Linked DNA regions of Sus scrofa. The protein of the gene in region 1 binds, or shares a complex with, the protein of each later gene. Links are inferred from orthologs where the notes say so. Each region holds a gene or a part of one and is shown in the gene's direction. Other genes may lie near its edges.

Evidence for each region.
Region 2: THOC6 (region 1) and CHTOP share a complex: the UniProt entries of both Homo sapiens proteins name them as parts of the transcription/export (TREX) complex. The link is inferred for Sus scrofa from reciprocal best matches to the Homo sapiens genes THOC6 and CHTOP.

Annotation. Positions count from the first base shown.
Region 1 is NC_010445.4:39,161,358-39,166,244, reverse strand, and holds THOC6 (THO complex subunit 6 homolog), read left to right. Parts: upstream 1-1,613; 5' UTR 1,614-1,908; coding exon 1,909-1,947; intron 1,948-1,972; exon of another isoform or gene 1,973-2,131; intron 2,132-2,711; coding exon 2,712-2,827; intron 2,828-2,919; coding exon 2,920-2,984; intron 2,985-3,074; coding exon 3,075-3,178; intron 3,179-3,257; coding exon 3,258-3,295; intron 3,296-3,378; coding exon 3,379-3,427; intron 3,428-3,562; coding exon 3,563-3,634; intron 3,635-3,732; coding exon 3,733-3,835; intron 3,836-3,918; coding exon 3,919-3,968; intron 3,969-4,056; coding exon 4,057-4,119; intron 4,120-4,219; coding exon 4,220-4,330; intron 4,331-4,415; coding exon 4,416-4,550; intron 4,551-4,630; coding exon 4,631-4,711; 3' UTR 4,712-4,803; downstream 4,804-4,887. Other genes in the region: HCFC1R1 (host cell factor C1 regulator 1), read right to left, coding at 422-557, 799-927, 1,041-1,097, 1,409-1,503. UniProt on the Homo sapiens protein: Component of the THO subcomplex of the TREX complex which is thought to couple mRNA transcription, processing and nuclear export, and which specifically associates with spliced mRNA and not with unspliced pre-mRNA.
Region 2 is NC_010446.5:96,002,260-96,007,182, reverse strand, and holds the start of CHTOP (chromatin target of PRMT1 protein), read left to right. Parts: upstream 1-1,568; 5' UTR 1,569-1,878; intron 1,879-3,047; 5' UTR 3,048-3,064; coding exon 3,065-3,129; intron 3,130-4,445; coding exon 4,446-4,599; intron 4,600-4,923. UniProt on the Homo sapiens protein: Plays an important role in the ligand-dependent activation of estrogen receptor target genes. May play a role in the silencing of fetal globin genes.

The DNA of each region.
Region 1 (4,887 bases):
AGGGAGGAGTGAGTCAGCCGCGGGGGTGGGGGTGAGGCTGTGACTCACACATTCTCAATGCCTGAGCCCAGCCTGCCAGGACCTGGCCGGGCCTTGACCGTTTTCCAGGGAAGATCTTGAGGAGAAACTCCAGCATCCAGGACCCCAGCCCTGCCCCTCCTTTTCCAAAGGCCCTGGGTTCCAGCCTGAAGCCTTCATTTGCTCATCAATCTTTATTCGGTTCTTGGGGGGGGGTCTCCCTTCCCATGCTCCTGCCCCTCCCACCCCAGGACTCTGGGGGGCTCAATGTCCTGTTGAGAGAAGGTCCTGGTGCCCAGAGGCCTGGTCTGGAGGAAAAGCAGGGTAGCTGGTCCCTCTGTGGGCATGCTGGTCTTCCCTGTTGTGAGGAAGGAAGGAGGGCAGGGGCACTGTCCGCCAGCACTCAGAGCTCCATTATGTCCACGGCTGAGGTTGCAGGGGAGTGGGGGGTGGGGGTGTCCCCCCGCCTCAGCAGCCGGAGTGCCTCGGGGATCAGGTTCCCAGGGTAGCGCCAGAGAAGCAGCTCGGGGCAAGAGGTTCTGGAAGAGGAAATGACAATCAGAAGAGAGCTGAGGCTGGCCTGGCAGAGCCACACCCCACCTGGTCCAGGTTCCCAGGGGCTCCTAGGCTGCTGGCACCTTCTTAGGAGCCAAGATGGGAAACAGCAGAGGTTGGCTAGAAGCTAAAAATAGCAGGATGAGGCAGAGCCTGGAGACTGGCTCTGAGGATTGGGTATGATCCTCCAGAAGGCCCCGCTGGTGGACTGTGGATAGTGCCTACCTGAGTGGGGGCAGAGCTGGGGAGAGAGCCATGGGGGGGCTGCAGTACGGGTGGTCATTGTGCAAGCTCAGCTGAGAAAAATGGGTGGCCATGTTCTCCTCAGACAGGAACTGCTTGCGCAGGGGCTCCCTGGGGAGAGACGGGGAGGCAGGCAAGCTGGGATATTCAGAGGAGAAGTAGTATGATGGGGACCTGAGGTGACAGAGGTCTTGCTGGGAGTTCCTCCCTGCCCCCAAACTCACTGCTCCGCCTCCAGGCGCCGCTTGGTGCTCATGGGCACAGCTCCTCGGAGAGGGGAGCTGGGAAGAAAAGAGAGCCAGGAGCATCCCACCCTCTTGGCCCCATCCCAAGGATCTGCCCGCCTAAGCCAGCGCGTCAGCCAGGAGCGCCCAGCCCATCTCCGTCTCAGCTGACGCCCAAGTCACCCCCTCTCTCAAACCATCCAGAAGCCTGCCTGGGAGGTCTCAGTCCCCAGTCTCCGACCGTGGCTCAGCTCACGCCCAAGCCCTGCGGACAATCCCCACCGTGTGTCAGCCTGCAGACCAGCCTGAGGCCACAGCCAAAGCTCCTGGGCCCCCGAGCCAGGCCCGCCTAGGGCTCCCATACACACCTCGCGTCCAGGCCTCGGGGCACTCCCGAGGTGGCCCGCGGGTCGCGCTGGGCCCGACCCTGGGGGCCTCGCTCCAGGGGCTGCTGCAGGATCATTGGGGTTCGAGGTCCTGCGGTCTGAAGGGGTGGGATCCAGGCGCCGGGGAGGAGTCTCCGAGGGCGTGGCCCAACGCGTAGGGCGTGGCTTTAGGCGTACGCAGCGGCCAGAGTCTGCGCAGGCGCGGAAGGCTGACGGCACGCGGCTGGAAGGCGGGTCTGCTCTGCGGGGTGGGGGCGGGGGCCCGCCGTAGCGGGGTTGCGGTGGGTACCACTTAGTCTTGGGATCTTCTTGGCGGTCACCTGCGCTGCTGGGACTCGGGTTACGCAGAGGCCGTCTTCACGCCGGGCTGGCCAGCGGTGTTGGGGAGGTAGGGCGCCGCGAAGGGGAGCTGCTCCGGAGGCACTTCCGGACTCGTGAGGCTACGTGGAGCGCGGAGCTCTCTGGGACTTTTAGTTCTCGAGATGGACCGAGCGGTGCCGCCGGCGGTGCCTCTGGGTCAGGTGAGGCGTGCGTGGTGCGCGGTGCCTTCTGGGGTTTGTAGTCCACGCCCGGCTTCGAAGCGGCTGGCAAGCAGTCGTGCCCTGATCTCTGTTTCGCGTGGGCTCTTGGTGGGACTCGGATTCTGACCCGTGGGCGGGAGAATAACCCAGAAATACCTCAGGGGCCTTACATGAAAGTCAAAAGGTAGGGATTAAAAGGGCGGGAGTTCCCGCTGTGGCGCAGCAGGATCGGCGGCGTCTTGGGATTGCTGGGATCCCCTGCACAGTGGGTTAAGGACCCGGCGTTGCCGCATCTGTGGCTTAAGTCTCGACTCCGTCTGGGATCTGATCTCTGGCCCGGGAACTCCATATGCTGCCGCAGGACGGTCAAAAAAAAAAAAAAAGTACATTTTTCTGTTTGGGAGTAAGGCCACTTTTTAAAGCGGTTTCTCCTTGTGCGAAGTTCTTTGTTTACAGTAGCTTATCCATTCGGGACAAAAATCTCCCAGGAGCTCCATTCCGTAGTTGAGGAAACCTGCAGGAGAGTCTGGATGCTTGCTAAAAGTTCCACTAAGCATCAAGCCGCACCGCTCTCCTTTCTCGCCTCCTTCTCAGAGCCGTTCCTGGGACTGTATGGGCAGGTGCCCCCTGGTGGGCTGTTTCACAGGAGGACTGAGAGGTCTCGGGGGTGCGAGGCTGGGCTGGCAGCAGGGAAAGCGGGCAGGAGTCTGTGGATCCGAGGTCTTGGAAGCCCCAGACAGCCTTCATCCAGTCTCTCTCCACAGATGGAAGTATTTCAGGCCCTGCAGCGGCTGCACATGACCATCTTCTCCCAGAGTGTCTCACCTTGTGGGAAGTTCCTGGCGGCTGGCAACAATTATGGGCAGATAGCCATCTTTAGGTACACTTGCCCCCGCTCCCCACCACCCGTTAGCTCCTGGGGCTGACGCCTCCTGCTTCTGACTCTCAGGCCCCTCTTCCCTCTCCCTTCAGCTTGTCTGCTGCTCTGAGCTCCGAGGCCAAAGAGGAAAGTAAGAAGCCCATTGTGACTTTCCAAGGTGGGTGCCGCCATCGAGTCTGTCTTGGGGAACCCCAGGGTGGATGAGAGGAGCAGGATGGGGTCACTCAGGTTCTGCCCTTGCATTTAGCCCATGATGGGCCTGTCTACAGCATGGTGTCCACTGATCGACATCTGCTCAGTGCCGGGGATGGGGAGGTGAAGGCCTGGCTTTGGGCGGAGATCCTTAAGAAGGTGAGTGTGGAGCTGGGGGAAGGGTGAGCTGCCCAGACCCAGAGAGAGTCTTTGTCACCCAATGTTTCCTTCCCCGAAGGGCTGTAAGGAGCTGTGGCGTCGTCAGCCCCCATACAGGTGAGCCAGGGCCATGTGGGCAGAGGGCACATGGAGGTGAAGGTATGGCCTCATCAGAGCTGACGTGGTTTTTCCTCCCCCAGGACCAGCCTAGAAGTACCTGAGATCAATGCTTTACTTCTCGTCCCCAAGGTTCGAGCCCTTTATAATCAGGGCCCTCCCCTGCCCTGTTCTTGGGCCAGATTTGATCCTTACCCTCCCCTGCCCTGACGTGACACTGACCTCTGACCCCACTCGCCCATGCCCTGCCCGCGCCTTCTTCTGCAGGAGAATTCCCTCATCCTGGCGGGTGGAGACTGTCAGCTGCACACGATGGACCTTGAGACGGGGGCCTTCACCGTGAGCTGTGGAGCTGGAGTGGCTGGGGGGGAGGCAGCAGGCGGGGAGGGGGGTGGCCTCTTCCTGGATCTTGTCCTGACACTGCCCTCTCCCTGCAGCGGGCCCTCCGCGGCCACACAGACTACATCCACTGCCTGGCGCTGAGGGAGAGGAGCCCCGAGGTGCTCTCTGGTGGCGAGGATGGGGCCGTACGGCTCTGGGGTAAGAGTGTCTGGAGGGAGAGGTGGTGGTGAGGGAGGCTGGGGCAAGTGGGGTGCCTGCCTCTCACGGCTCTTCCCACACAGACCTCCGCACGGCCAGGGAGGTCCAGACGATCGAAGTCTACAAGCATGAGGTGAGGGCACACCCCACGCCCCGTCCTCCCTTCCTCCTTTCTGGGCATCCCACGTCTCCACCTCCGCCTCGCCTCTCCTCCCTCCCAGGAGTGCTCGAGGCCCCACAATGGGCGCTGGATCGGATGTTTGGCAACTGACTCAGACTGGATGGTGAGCCGGGCCAAGTGCAGGATGGGGTGGCAGCGCTGGGCTCTGTCCAGCTGAGGCTCTGTGGCTCACAGAGGCTGGGGGCCCCCACCTTTCTGCCCAGGTCTGTGGAGGTGGCCCGGCACTCACCCTCTGGCACCTTCGATCTTCCACACCCACCACCATCTTCCCCATGCGGGCACCGCAGAAGCACGTTACCTTCTACCAGGACCTGGTGAGGCCTTCTATCTCCCTTCTGCTAAAGCCCTGCCTGCTCCCCTCCAGCTCTGAACCCCGAGCCCCATCCCTGTCTCCCACAGATTCTGTCAGCTGGCCAGGGTCGCTGCGTCAACCAGTGGCAGCTGAGTGGGGAGCTCAAGGCTCAGGTGCCTGGCTCCTCCCCTGGGCTGCTGAGCCTCAGCCTCAACCAGCAACCAGCAGCCCCTGAGTGCAAGGTGGGTCCTGGGAAGGCCGGTGGGAATCATGGGAGGCCAGGGTGTGGAGGGCAGGTCAGCCACTCCCCTCTTGCCTCTAGGTTCTGACAGCTGCAGGCAACAGCTGCAGGGTGGACGTTTTCACCAATCTGGGCTACCGAGCTTTCTCCCTGTCCTTCTGAGCTGCAGCAGCGCCTCCACATCCATCTCCGGAGTCTGGAGTGTTTCTTCTTTTTTTTATACAAATAAAGTTTTAGGCTTTTTTTTTCATGCACTTTCCTCCCAAGAATGGAGGCCAGGTTGGTGTAATGATTTATATATTACTCTGATCTTGATACATAAATACCCACCCCCACCC
Region 2 (4,923 bases), on another chromosome or scaffold:
CTCCACCCTGCCATACCTGCCTCTTCACCCTGCTTCCCCTTCATCCCGCTGTTCCCTCCCCACCTTCTCACCCTTGCCTACCCTCCAACAGGGGCGCAAGAGTAGTGGGCCAGGCCTGCAACTCATCTTTCATTAAAGGCTCCTCTCTCACCAGCCACCAGCTGCTGTCTCTGGTCCTTCAGGGTTTGGAAATGGGTGGGGAAGTGAAGGCTGTTCACTCCCAAATTGCTTTATTTGGGGAGGGATCTTATTTTGGAGAAAGATCAAGGAACCATTACATCTTCCTACTTAAGGAATGCTCAAGGCCCAGAAAGGTAGAGGCTCAAGGTTCCAGCTGGAAGTGGCAGAGACATCAGCTTTTCAGCTTTGAAGCCAGAAAAATTGCCCTTCAACTTTCGAAGAATATGTGCTGAAGACCTACCCCGTGCTAGACATTGTGTGGAAACTGGGAATACAGCAGTGAGCAAAACAAACACAACCCTCACTGTCACATAGGTGAAGTCCAGTAAAGGGTGCCAAACCATTAAACATACACGTATAAATGCTAGGAAGGAAAATGAAAGGATCTCATGCGCCTTTAAGAGAGTGGAGGTGGAACTGAGGACATGTTCATTCACTCATTCTTCCAACATCTGAGCCTTTTTTTTTTTTTGGTCTTTTTTTGCTATTTCTTGGGCCGCTCCCACGGCATATGGAGGTTCCCAGGCTAGGGGTTGAATCAGAGGTGCAGCCACCTGGCCTACGCCAGAGCCACAGCAACGCTGGATCCGAGCCGCGTCTGCAACCTACACCACAGCTCACAGCAATGCCGGATCGTTAACCCACTGAGCAAGGCTAGGGATCGAACCCGCAACCTCATGGTTCCTAGTTGGGTTCCTTAACCACTGCGCCACGACGGGAACTCCCATCTGAGCCTTTTATTGTGTGCCCAGGTATAAGGAAAATGCCATATAGGTCTGCATCAAAATCCACATGGAAGCTAGATGGAGGGAGAAGACATTGGAATAGGTTGCGGGGACGCAAAGCTTCCCCCAAATAAGAATTTAACAATCTTCAGGCCAAATTGGGAAGGGAAGTGAAGAGAAAAATATGGACGGGCAGTGGTGCGTGGTGCAGGATCCAGTGAGGTGTGCTCCCTGCACTGGTCCCCAGGTGCGTTTATGGCAACCCACAACTCTAAAAGGGGCGTATGCTGAGGGGGGAGCCAGCGCAAATTACACCGGCCCGGTGGCTCTCGGAAGAAAGACCGAGTCATGTCGCGTAAAGAATTTTAGTCGGTCTGCCTTAGCTTTAGGGGTGGAGGGACCCGCAATGAAATACGAACTTCTTTTCTTAAGAGGACCAAATCCGCCTTGAACGTCCCAAATCACCAACTTGCAGCCGCCTTAAAACCCAAGAGAGAATATATTGGCCACGCCCCTTCCCGGGTGGGGCTCGGAGTGTAATACAGCCTAAAGCCCCGCCTTTTCCCTGGAGCTCCGCCTCATCCCCCGCGCAGGCGTAACACAAATTTTCCCGCCTCCTGCGCTGTGCGCAGACCTGACGTCTGACGTAATGGCGTCGACGCCATTTTAGCCGGTCCCATTCCGCACTGGGCGTGGCGGCCATTTTGTTTTGGAGAGCGAGCGGGAGTTGGCGGCAGCGGCTGTGGTGAAAGGCAGGAAAGGGCACGCCGGGCGAGCAGGCGAACCGGCCGACCGGACAGCCACCCAGCATCAACGAACTAACCTAGCATTCTACCGTTTAACACATACAACCAACCGCCCACCAAGTTAATCCGAGCCCCTCCACCGTCAACTCAGGTTCGGCCGGCCCCCGGCCAGCCTGTCGCAGCCGTGGTGGCAACCCCGGGAGGAGCACTGGCGTCCGTTTCCTTCGGTACGTTTCTGTGGTGAGAAGGAGGGCAAAAGTCTTGGGGAGCGCCCGGGCCCGGCGGTCGTGGAGTGGGAGCTGGTGGGATGTGGAAGCAGATTGGGTGTCGGGGAGTGGAGGCCCCGGGAGGGGGCGGAGCCCCTGAGAGGGAGGCGGGGGAGGCCCCGAGCTGGAAACTCGCTGCTGGAGGTTGGGATTTGGTAGGAATAGAAAGGAACATTGCTGGGCGGGTTGAGCAACGTTGGCGGTCCCGGACGGGGCTTTGAGATGGGAGTTCAGAGGAGGACTACACGGCTTTAGGGAACGTCAGAATGCACTGGCAGCTGTAGAGTTAAATTTTGTGGCGTGCTCTCTGGGATCGAACTCCCAGGTGAACGCCCATTTAGGAAACCTTTCCTACTCCATCCCTCCCCCACGTCCCCAGTCCCTTGCTAAGGTTCCTGCAAGACTTTGGAGTTGAAAGCCAATTTGTAAACTGGTAAACCTGTATCATCTCTCTAGAGCAGTGGTTCTGAATTTTGGCTGCACATGAGAAGCAGCAAGTTAGACACCACCCCCCCTCCCCGCACCACCTTCTAATTGCTGATCCCCAGACCTCACCAGCAGAGATTGTGCTTTAAATGGTTTGGGCCGAAGCTTCTGTATTTTGTGTCTGTCTTTGTTGTTGTTTTGTCTTTTTAGGGCCGCATATATAGAAGTTCCAAGGCTAGAGGTCGAATTGGAGCTGTAGCTGCCGGCCTAGACCACAACCCACAGCAACGCTAGATCCTTAACCCACTGTGCGAGGCTAGGGGTCCAACCCACATCCTCAAGGATGCTAGTTGGGTTTGTGACCGCGGAGCCATGAAGGGAACTCCTGTTGTTGTTTTTTAAAGCTCCTTGCAGCCAAGGTAGAGAAGGACCGCTCTAGATGAAAAGCCAAACACTTTCTTTGGCTAGGTCTAGGTCTGCCATTTTTGGAGGCTTGGGCAGGTATTTTCTGTCATGTGGCCTTGAAGTTTATTAATTCCAGATAACTTAGCTTCTAAATGTAAGCACCTGAAATGAGTTTTGGTGTGATCTTCAGTAGTCATTGAGACAGGCCTATTCATTCATTTTTGGTTTGGGCCTTTGGCCCTGTTGAAATGAGGTAGTCATCATTCTGATTTGCTCACTTTGCCCATTGTCTTTTGTAGATTCTCGGGATTTGAAGATGGCTGCACAGTCAGCACCGAAAGTTGTGCTAAAAAGCACCACCAAGATGTCTCTAAATGAGCGGTGAGGCAGCCAACAGCAACTTCAGCTCGTTCATAAGAAAACATTACTTAAGTTGGCCCTGGGTCCAATGCACAAAAACCAGTTTTAAGCTAAATACCAACAGAAGGCTACAGACCTCTGTTCTTAGTAGCATCTTATGTGGTACACAAAACAAATTGGGCGGTTGTTTCAAAACCACTTATCAGTAGATTTTTATGTTAAGCTGTCTGAAATATTTCTCTGGTGGGATGTATTTTAAAAGACTCCTCACACCCTCCATTTTCTTCACATTTTTTTTACATTGATACAGGGGTGGTGCAGCTTGGTAGCATGGAACCCCGGCTGCAGTAGGCTTGCTGCCCAGTCCAAGGCCAGCAGTGTTGTGTCTGGCCTGTAAGAGGCAGGTAGCAAGCTATGAATATGTCCAAAGGCCCTTGAATGTCATTCTTGGACCTTGTAAGAGGCACTTGCTTTGCTCCATTTCACTTTCTTTCCATTCTGCTTTTAGTTTGTTTTTGTTTTGGATTCTTTTGCGCTTAAGTGTTCTTCTCTTTCATTCCGTTAAATTCGACAGGAATAATAGAAGAGTGTCTTCACAAGAGCCTCAATGATTGAACTAATCTTAACTTTTCAGAAGTAATCAACTTGGAGTCAGAAAAAGTAATCATTTGAAACTAAGAAAAGTTAAGGTATTTAAAGGCACTTTCTGTCTCTGAGGGCCTTGTTCCTTGAGTGCCTTTGACAAATGATTTTATTAAGTTGCTGTTAAACATAAGATTTACTTGTGTTTGTCTGCCTTTTCTGAAGCATATGTGCTTCTTAGGGCACGTGGTACACTAATTCTTCATATTCACATGTTACTGCGTGAACCACTTATGAAAAAAATGTGATATACTCCTGTAATTTATGTGGATGTATCATTTCCATAGGCTTTGAAGGTGCTCTAGTCCGTCCTTATATACGCCCTTAAAATGCACCCTCAGGTCCCAAAGGATTTGGCTTGCTTTGTCTGTCTTTGAAACTACATCTTCTGTCTCTTGTCATCATATCTGCTTATTGCGTGTTTTTCATGCTTTCTATCTCTAAAAGCCGTTACCTGAGCCCTTGTTATCACTTTTGATTGAATGTGCTACACTTAGCTGCATTTCTGAGTTTCTGATTCTTGCAAGTTTGTGGAAGCGGAGGAGTCTTTAACCCACATCAGCCTTGATCTAAGTGTACCGCTTTACTTAAAGTTCGTGGGATCTGGAGCTCCTGGTCTAGCAAGCCATGAAAATGCCAGTAAATGTTTTGTAATAAAGCTTTTATTTAAACATCCATTTTGTTCGACCTTGAAGCTTTACTAATATGCTGAAGAACAAACAACCGATGCCAGTGAATATTCGGGCTTCGATGCAGCAACAACAGCAGCTAGCCAGTGCCAGAAACAGAAGACTGGCCCAGCAGATGGAGAATAGACCCTCTGTCCAGGCAGCATTAAAACTTAAGCAGGTGAGAGAATGGGTCTTAATGCTCCAGAAGCAGCTGGTGATCTCTGTCAGGCAGTCCCTTGAGGCTGTAGCGACGTGATGGATCATTACCAGGTGGCTCAGGGCAAAAGCAGAACTTCTCTGGAGGAAAGAGAAGTTCAGAGAATTTCCATTTGGGCAGGTACCAATAAGTAACTTTTTATTGTCTTTTTCTTTTAGGGAGTTTGCCATCAATGTGGCCTGTTTCTGTGTTGTTAATGAGTATTAATCTCTTGTTTTCTGATCCTTTGCCCTTAAGATAGATTCACTGGCTTTTTCCACCAAGAAATTTTGGTTCTTGTTTTAG